Mus musculus: one gene and its partner. The protein of the gene in region 1 interacts with the protein of each later gene in a biochemical or structural test. Links are inferred from orthologs where the notes say so. Each region holds a gene or a part of one and is shown in the gene's direction. Other genes may lie near its edges.

The links. The genes of interacting proteins can lie anywhere in the genome.
Region 2: the proteins of Dlg4 (region 1) and Ctnnd2 interact in a test that uses a peptide from one of them, tested with the Homo sapiens proteins (2 studies listed by IntAct, with this or other methods). The link is inferred for Mus musculus from reciprocal best matches to the Homo sapiens genes DLG4 and CTNND2.

Annotation. Positions count from the first base shown.
Region 1 is NC_000077.6:70,037,701-70,041,267, forward strand, and holds part of Dlg4 (disks large homolog 4 isoform 6 precursor), read left to right. Parts: intron 1-1,322; coding exon 1,323-1,618; intron 1,619-1,783; coding exon 1,784-1,886; intron 1,887-2,046; coding exon 2,047-2,161; intron 2,162-3,567. UniProt on the Homo sapiens protein: Postsynaptic scaffolding protein that plays a critical role in synaptogenesis and synaptic plasticity by providing a platform for the postsynaptic clustering of crucial synaptic proteins.
Region 2 is NC_000081.6:30,171,127-30,175,345, forward strand, and holds the start of Ctnnd2 (catenin delta-2), read left to right. Parts: upstream 1-1,407; 5' UTR 1,408-2,000; coding exon 2,001-2,037; intron 2,038-2,043; exon of another isoform or gene 2,044-2,677; intron 2,678-4,219. UniProt on the Homo sapiens protein: Has a critical role in neuronal development, particularly in the formation and/or maintenance of dendritic spines and synapses. Involved in the regulation of Wnt signaling.

The DNA of each region.
Region 1 (3,567 bases):
TAAAACCAAAACCAAACTTGATCAGATGGACACAGGCTGGGGGTCTGTCATGCAGTGAATGTCCAGGCTGAGCAAAGCCTGTGTTCCCATCTTCATGACAAGATAACTTTCCATTGTTACCTTTGGAGGACGCTAGGTTATCTAGAGGCCTACCATTTCTTCCTGGAAACGTAAGCAAGGGAGAGAATCAGTCATCCACTCGCTCTCCTCTGTGTAAGCTTATCACAGAGTAAGCTCAAGGTGCTGGGCAGCAGTTCTTGTGTGCACGCGTGTGTGGGTCTGTATGTCTTCTTACCGTTTTTGTTTTGAGATAAGGTCTCATTATGTAGCCCAGGCTAGCTTCAAAGTCCTCATGTAACCCACGCCGGCCTTCGGTTTACAGCAGTGGGATAGTAGGCTCGAACACAGCACTCAGCAGGTCCTTTCTAAAAAATCTTATTAATGATTGTACAACATTAACACTTGGCAGTCTCTTTGAGCATCAGCCTTAGACACCATCCTGAATGCCTGCAAGGACTACGGAAGGAGCCTGATAGAACACGTTGTATGGGCAGGCCAGCCTGATGACCTCAGAACCTGCCAGTTCAAGAAAGACAGGCAGACAGGCCCCCACTTCCCCTTTCCTTTTGAGACAGGGTCTTACTATGTAACCCGGGCTGGCCTGGAACTCAATGTGCTTCGGCTGCCCCAGTGGATCTGAAGTGTGGGTACCACACCCAGCAGACTTCACTGCATTCTTTGGGAGGCACAGGACTCCACCCTGGGTGAACATTTTCACGTTGAATCTGAGCCTACTGAGCCTCTAGAACAAATCTGGGAAAACAAAAACGGTGCTGAGCTGGGCACAGGCTAAGCAAGACCACAGGGAAACGAGCAGACTGCTAGCCCTCAAAGAATGTGGGAAAATACTTTAGACAAATGACCCAATTAAAACAAAACCAAAACCAAAACCAACCAACCAAACAAACAAAAAAACCCCAACCACCCAACCAACAAACAGAAACCAGGAATGACTGGGCAAAGGGAGAGGAATACTGTGGATTGAGAGACCCGAGAGACACTTTAATCAGAAGGCAGTCTGAAAGAGCATGATGCTAATATTCCCCTGTTGTCCCCATTCCTGCCATACTAAAGACATACGACCTTCAGATCCCTTTGATGTCATCTGTAAACTTCTGACCCCTGCTGCTGCGGGTTACCCACAAACCTTTTCGGCAGAATAACTCCTCTTTGGCTGAGCCTGGCTCTGGGCTCCCTCTGGAGAGGGTGGAAGGGTGGGTACCACCGTCAAAGCGTTTTCATCTCACCCTGTCTCCCCTCAGCATATTCTCAGCACCTGGACAATGAGATCAGTCATAGCAGCTACTTGGGCACCGACTACCCCACAGCCATGACCCCCACTTCCCCTCGGCGCTACTCCCCCGTGGCCAAGGACCTGCTAGGGGAGGAAGATATTCCCCGGGAACCAAGGCGGATCGTGATCCATCGGGGCTCCACCGGCCTGGGCTTCAACATTGTGGGCGGCGAGGACGGTGAAGGCATCTTCATCTCCTTCATCCTTGCTGGGGGTCCAGCTGACCTCAGTGGGGAGCTACGGAAGGGGGACCAGATCCTGTCGGTGAGAGAGGCCCGTGCAAGGGTCTGCACTGCCCACCAAAGAGAGTCCTGTGCTCTTGGGGAGGGGCTCAATGGGCTCAAGCCAGGTCCGGTTGGACCACTCCCTGACTCACTGAGTCCCAAATTGTCTTCCCATCCCAGGTGACAGTGTCTTCTCCCTTTCTAGGTCAATGGTGTTGACCTCCGCAATGCCAGTCATGAACAGGCTGCCATTGCCCTGAAGAACGCGGGTCAGACGGTCACGATCATCGCTCAGTATAAACCAGAAGGTACCACGCCTAAGCTTCCCTGTCTTGTTGGCTAAGGTGGTCCTCAGCATTGTCTTTAGCTGATGGACGGACAGGTGGTCTCAGTAGGGGTAGGGTGAGGTTTGGCGGGGTGTGGCATTAGGATGGGGCAGAGTTCCAGAACCTTCTTGTCCTTTCTCAGAGTATAGCCGATTCGAGGCCAAGATCCATGATCTTCGGGAACAGCTTATGAATAGTAGCCTGGGCTCAGGGACTGCATCTCTGCGAAGCAACCCCAAGCGGGGCTTCTATATCAGGTAAGAAGCGTCCTTGGCGTGGCTCTGGAGGCCTCCATGAACTCCTGCCCATCCCCCACACAGCTCCTTCCCTAAATCTTGCCCTTCTCCTCTCCCACCCAGACGTGAGTGACCCTTAGCCATGGGTTCATAGACTTGGCTGCACACACTGGTCTTCTGGAGTATATTATCTGGTTGAAATTTAGTGCCTGCCCCAAGTGTTTGAATTGCCTTCTAGGTCCCGGTCACACAAGCACTAACCAATGGCTCTCAATGGTAGGGCCTAAGGCCAGTGTGTGACACAGCAGGCGTCTCTAGCTCTCTCTCTCTCCCTCCCTCCTCTCCTCCCTCCCTCCCTCCCTCCCTCCCTCCCTCCCTCCCTCCCTCCCTCCCTCCCTCCCTCCCTCCCTTATCCCCTAGGCTGAGTTTGAACCCCTGTGCTTTAATAATCTTCCTGCCATAGATACAGGCACTTGTCACCATGCCCAGCTTTGGGATATTTTGAGTCTTCCTCCAGCTTGGCACCCTTGTGGGAAGCCTCTGCGGAAGGACTGCAGCTCCTCTGTGCCCGCCGCCTGTCTTTCTTACTTCTTGCCCTTCCTTCCATCTCTGTGCTAGGGATTGAATCCAGGGCTCCGTACATGTTAGGCAGGCACCAAAACCACCGTTGAAAATCCACCTCAGCTCACCTCCCGACTGCTCAGTAGCATTTTCTCCCTTCTCGGGGCCTCTTTTCTCATGAGTCCCCTTCCTGTCTCTTCACAAGGCGTTGAGGTCTCGTCCCTCCCCTTCCCTGTCTCTCCCCTCCATCTGCTTTCTTTGTTCAGGTGGCTGGTCTTATCTGCCCTCTGCTATACTGGTGTCCCTGAGAGCTGTGTGGCCTGGTGGGATGCCTTCTTGGAGGTTCCAACCATTCTGGATGTTGCCTTTAGGCCATCTCCATTGGGTTGTCCACAGGCTTGTCACAGCCAACATGTCTTAGACTCAGCTTGCTGTGTTTCTCCTGGATGCCTGTGTTATGTCTTAGGGACCCACACCTAAGCGCTCCCTCTCTGTGGGAGGCTAGCAGGTGCTGGGGGTCATTTAGTTCTCACTGCATGACTCGGGGGCTTTTCTCCCCAGCCCCACTGCTTTTCTCTGCACCTTTGTTCTTTCAGAAACTTCCCAGAGCTTTTTGTCCTTAGACAGGTCTGGGATTGCTTACCGTGTGTGTGTGTGTGTGTGTGTGTGTGTGTGTGTGTGTGTGTGTGTGTGTGTGTGGGTGTGTGGGTGTGTGGGTGTGTGGGTGTGCATGTGTGTGTGTGTGCCACCCGGGAGGTTCATACTTTGCTTGCAGATCCCGTGTGTGTGTGTGTGTGTGTGTGTGTGTGTGCCACCGGGAGGTTCATACTTTGCTTGCAGATCCCTTGTCCAGAATCTGGCTGGCT
Region 2 (4,219 bases), on another chromosome or scaffold:
GTGACAGCTGGTGTGCCTTACAAGCCCCAAATTCCAGATTCAACTGAAGCTGATGTGGGAAAAAAAAAAACAAAAAAACAAAAAAACAAAAAACCAAACCTGCAAATGACCACATATCTTCCCTCACAGGAATCAGGCTATGTTAATGTCACACCAGCTTCGAAGGAGAACCTACACTGGAGAACAACTTTTGGGAGTGAGACTGAGCCTACTAGAGGTAGATGGAATGACTGACGGTGCACATTTCCCTGTTGTGAACAGTCATTACTCAATCTCTTGTCTGTTCCTTTACATATTTAGTCTGCTTAACTTTTCTTTCCACTTGCCTCAGCCTTTCACTAACTCCAGAGAATAATAGAGGCTATCTCAGATTTAATGCAAGCATTTTGACCTTGTTGGATAATCTCTTGCAAACTGAATAGAAATGTCCCTGAGATTACTGAAGCTGGAACCCCTCTTATTACAAGTTCGGGGTTCCTGGTCCATTTATCTGTGTCTCAGAAAATGGCTCTGGGAAAGAGTAGGGTGGGGTGGGCTGGCTTCAAAGTAAGGATCTTTGGTGGAATAATTATGGGACGTATTTGTCCTGCATGTGACTGACAGACTTTGCAGCCACACAGGGACATAGATGAAGGTCCTGAGGGCCTGCCTGCCTTGGAACTTGGCATGGGTTTCGTTTTCCAACAAGACTTTTCATAGTGTGACTTTGCTTGCTAGATTTAGCACTCTGTGTTGCCTAATGACTGACTAACTGAGAGACATTCGGAAATCTCAGTTGGAAATGGAGCAAGCTTCACAGACTCCACCGCGGTCAGTGGAGGAGGAGCAAAGTTTTCATTTTAGCACGGGACAATGGAAGAGAAGAGGAAAACAGTCGTGGAGGTGTCCAAGAAGACAACTGGGTGAGACGTGACAGGAAGACGAAGAGAATTCATTAAAGCTCTAGATCCAGCAAGGGTCTTCCTTGTAGGAAGTTTACTCATATTCCAGATTTTAAAACCAGACTGAGTTTGCATAAAGCATAATCAGAGCAGGAGGTGGTGGAGATGGGGCCCCAACACTACGAAAGAACCTTTCACAGACGTCATGCGTTCTTTGCTTTGGAACCCTAGAATCTACAAGAACATCCACCCCCATCCACTAGCTTTCATGGCTGGCCCGGTGCTCTCCTTAACTCACAAGCTACTCTAAAACCCCTCAATCGCTGCCCCTTTGCAGACCAACATCTGCCCCGCAGAATCAACTCTCCGCGTAGGCTCTATCTCGGGTGCTGTCTGTTCCCGGGGATGCGCGGCCCTCTCCCAACCTGAGCCGCCTCCTCCCATCTCTGCTGCTGTTGCTGCCGCCGCGAAAACCAGAAGTGGAATTCGCGTGGCGAGGCGCCGCGCTCTCTCGGCGGCACTGGGCATGCTCCGCACCCGGGGCAGGTTTCGGTGGTGGGGCGGACGCTCGCTCGCTCACTAGCCAAGCGCCGGAGCCGGCCGCCGCGGCTGAGCCGGAGGCTGAGCTGCGGCGCGCGGCGGGAGGAGCCTCGCTCTCGGCGGCGGCGGCGGCGGCGGCGACACAGGTGGCGCGGGCGGCGCGCAGGGCGCAGCTCGAGAGCGCTCGGCGCCGGGCGCCAGGGCGGCCCAGGCTCGCGCCCGCGGCGGCAACCGGCCGAGCGGAGCGGCGGGCGCGGCGGCTCGGTAGCCCGGCCCGAGCCCGGGGAGCCCCGCGGAACCCTGAGCATCCCGCGGCGCCCGCCGAGTCGGGCAGGGGGCGCTACGCTCGCCGCGCTCGGAGGGGCGGCCGGGCCGGGCGCTGCGCACTCGCGTCGGGAGCCGCCTCTCGCCTGCCGCGCTCGCCCCTGCTCCCCGCCAGCATCACTTGTCCCGCGGCCGCGCTCCGACAACAAAAGCGGAGGATGCTGCAGCTGGGCAAGGTCAGGACCTTGCTCTGAAGCCGGGCGGCGGCGCGCACGCCTTTCCCCCGACTGAGGAGCTGTCTTTGGCGGCGGGTGCATGTTCGCCAGGAAGCAGTCGGGCGCCGCGCCGTTCGGTGAGTTGCCTTAGCTGAGCTGCTGGAGCCGGGCGCATCCTCCGGGCGTCGTCCTCTTGCTCACCGCCGGTGGGGGTTGGTCCTCCGCTTCCAGCGGGGCTAGGGGTGGCGGCGGGCGGCAGTGGGGTGCTGTCTGCCCCGGGGGAGGACCGCGATCCTACCGGCTCCCCTCTTGGAAGGCGGCTCTCCCCGCAACGGGGTCCGGGGTCAGTGTCTTTCTTGGAGCGGTTACCAAGTGGCTTCTCCGCGTGCTCCCCTCCCTGCCACCCCTCTACCTCGGAGGACGCGTATATAGGGCAACACCGACTGCTCCCCGCCACCCTCCAGAGCAACCCGGTTGCATTCATGACGTCCCTAATATACCGGAGAAGACGGGGTGGGGGCGGGGAAGACTTCCTTCCAGTCTTTTGCCCTTATGTTCAATGTCATTACGATGTTTGGCTAGAACAAAATGGAAAGACTTAGTCATATGCGTCCATGGCCGTTTCTTCAGTCTCCCGCTGCTCGCCAGACCCAGACCCCTTTGGTCTATATTTAGCGTTTCCGAGGAAGCATTTTCAGAGGGATTCACAGGCTTCCGGGGGCTTCTCTGTCCTGACAATAGATAGCGAGGCTCTGGAAAGCGCTGCCTGACAGCCAGGTTTGGCAAGGGTGCTTGTGCATGGGAGATAGGCGTAGCGATATTTGGGTGATTCGTAATTAATGGCTGAAAGCAAAGCTGCGTTTCGCTCCCCCCTTCCTCTTCTTCTTGTGTGTAATGTGTTTTCATCGATTGATACTCAGCATGTTGAGCCACTCTGTTCAGAGTAAAGTCTCTAGGAAGGAGGTGCAACCTCCTCGGTCGGAGGGTGGGGGTCGGAAAACAGACTTGGGGGCTTAGAGGGATGTGCATCTCTGTATTTTCCACAAGGAGCCACTTATTTCTCAAATACCCAAAGTTGCGTTTTCACTGTAAACACCGGGGTAATGAAGGGTGTGGAAGAAGAGGATAATAGAGGGGGAGGCTGTGCTTGCAAGGGGTTTGTATTTCCCTCATTTGAACTGATCTGCTGTGCTTCAACTCTGCAAGGCTGTATACGTATGCATGCCTAATGTTCTCTAAGAGATATGTTGGCTTAGAAAAGAGATATGTAATGAGCAAAAATCAGGCCCGATAAGCATGACGGACAGTTCACTTTTAGGAACTGTGTGACTGATATTTAAGACGCCGAGAATTTTCTGCATTGACTTCCATGAAAATGGGGAGGTGTTGCCCCTGCCCATGAGTTACCTCATTTTGCACACTTCCACTGGTGGTAGTTCAGTTGATGTGCCCGCTGGTGAGCATGTATCAACATAATTGGAAGGCTCCCCAGCCCCGCTACTAAAATCCAGTGGAAGATTGTTTGATATGACTCCTTTTGGATTGCCAACGTAGAACAGTGCATGATTTGGGGGATCTGATATATGGGAGGTATGGCCAATAGAGGCAAGAATCCTCGTGTATGGAATAGCTGCTTTCAACAGCCAGATGCCTCTTCCTTTAGTGATTCTCTGTGCCAAGCAGAATCCATTGTTAATGTTGAATAGTATCCGTACTGGTCTGTGGGTTACAAGGTCCAAAGCTTGAATGAAGATGGGCTATGCTTGGAATTAGTTGTTGGAATATAGAAGGACTGTAATTTTACTAATAACAAGCGAGCGTGGGAAAAGCACCGCCGGAGGCTACTCTGCTTGGCTTAAGGGAACGCTGCGATTCCTTTGCCAACACTGCTGTAGTTTCACCTTTATTCACATTCAGGCAACTTTACAGGAGCGCTTTGAGCACACTCTTGGAGCCCTTGCATTATATCAATGTAAAATTTCTTTCAGAAGCATGCCTTAGATGAAGGAGGTGTACTTTCCCCTTTCCTTTCCTTTCCTTTCCTTTCCTTTCCTTTCCTTTCCTTTCCTTTCCTTTCCTTTCCTTTCCTTTCCTTTCCTTTCCTTGAGTCTAGTGTTTCAGTTTTAACCATGATTCTTACAGACGAGTTGACAACACTGTGTGCCTGTGTGTGCCTCCAGAGAGCAGCTGCTGGGCGTGAGAAAAACTCCATGGCTTCTGCATGAGACTTTTATGCTATATTGTGGGTTGAAAATGATAGTACCTGACTGAATGGCAGTTTTAGCAAGTGCATGAGGTTGGTGCTCTAATGAAATTGTC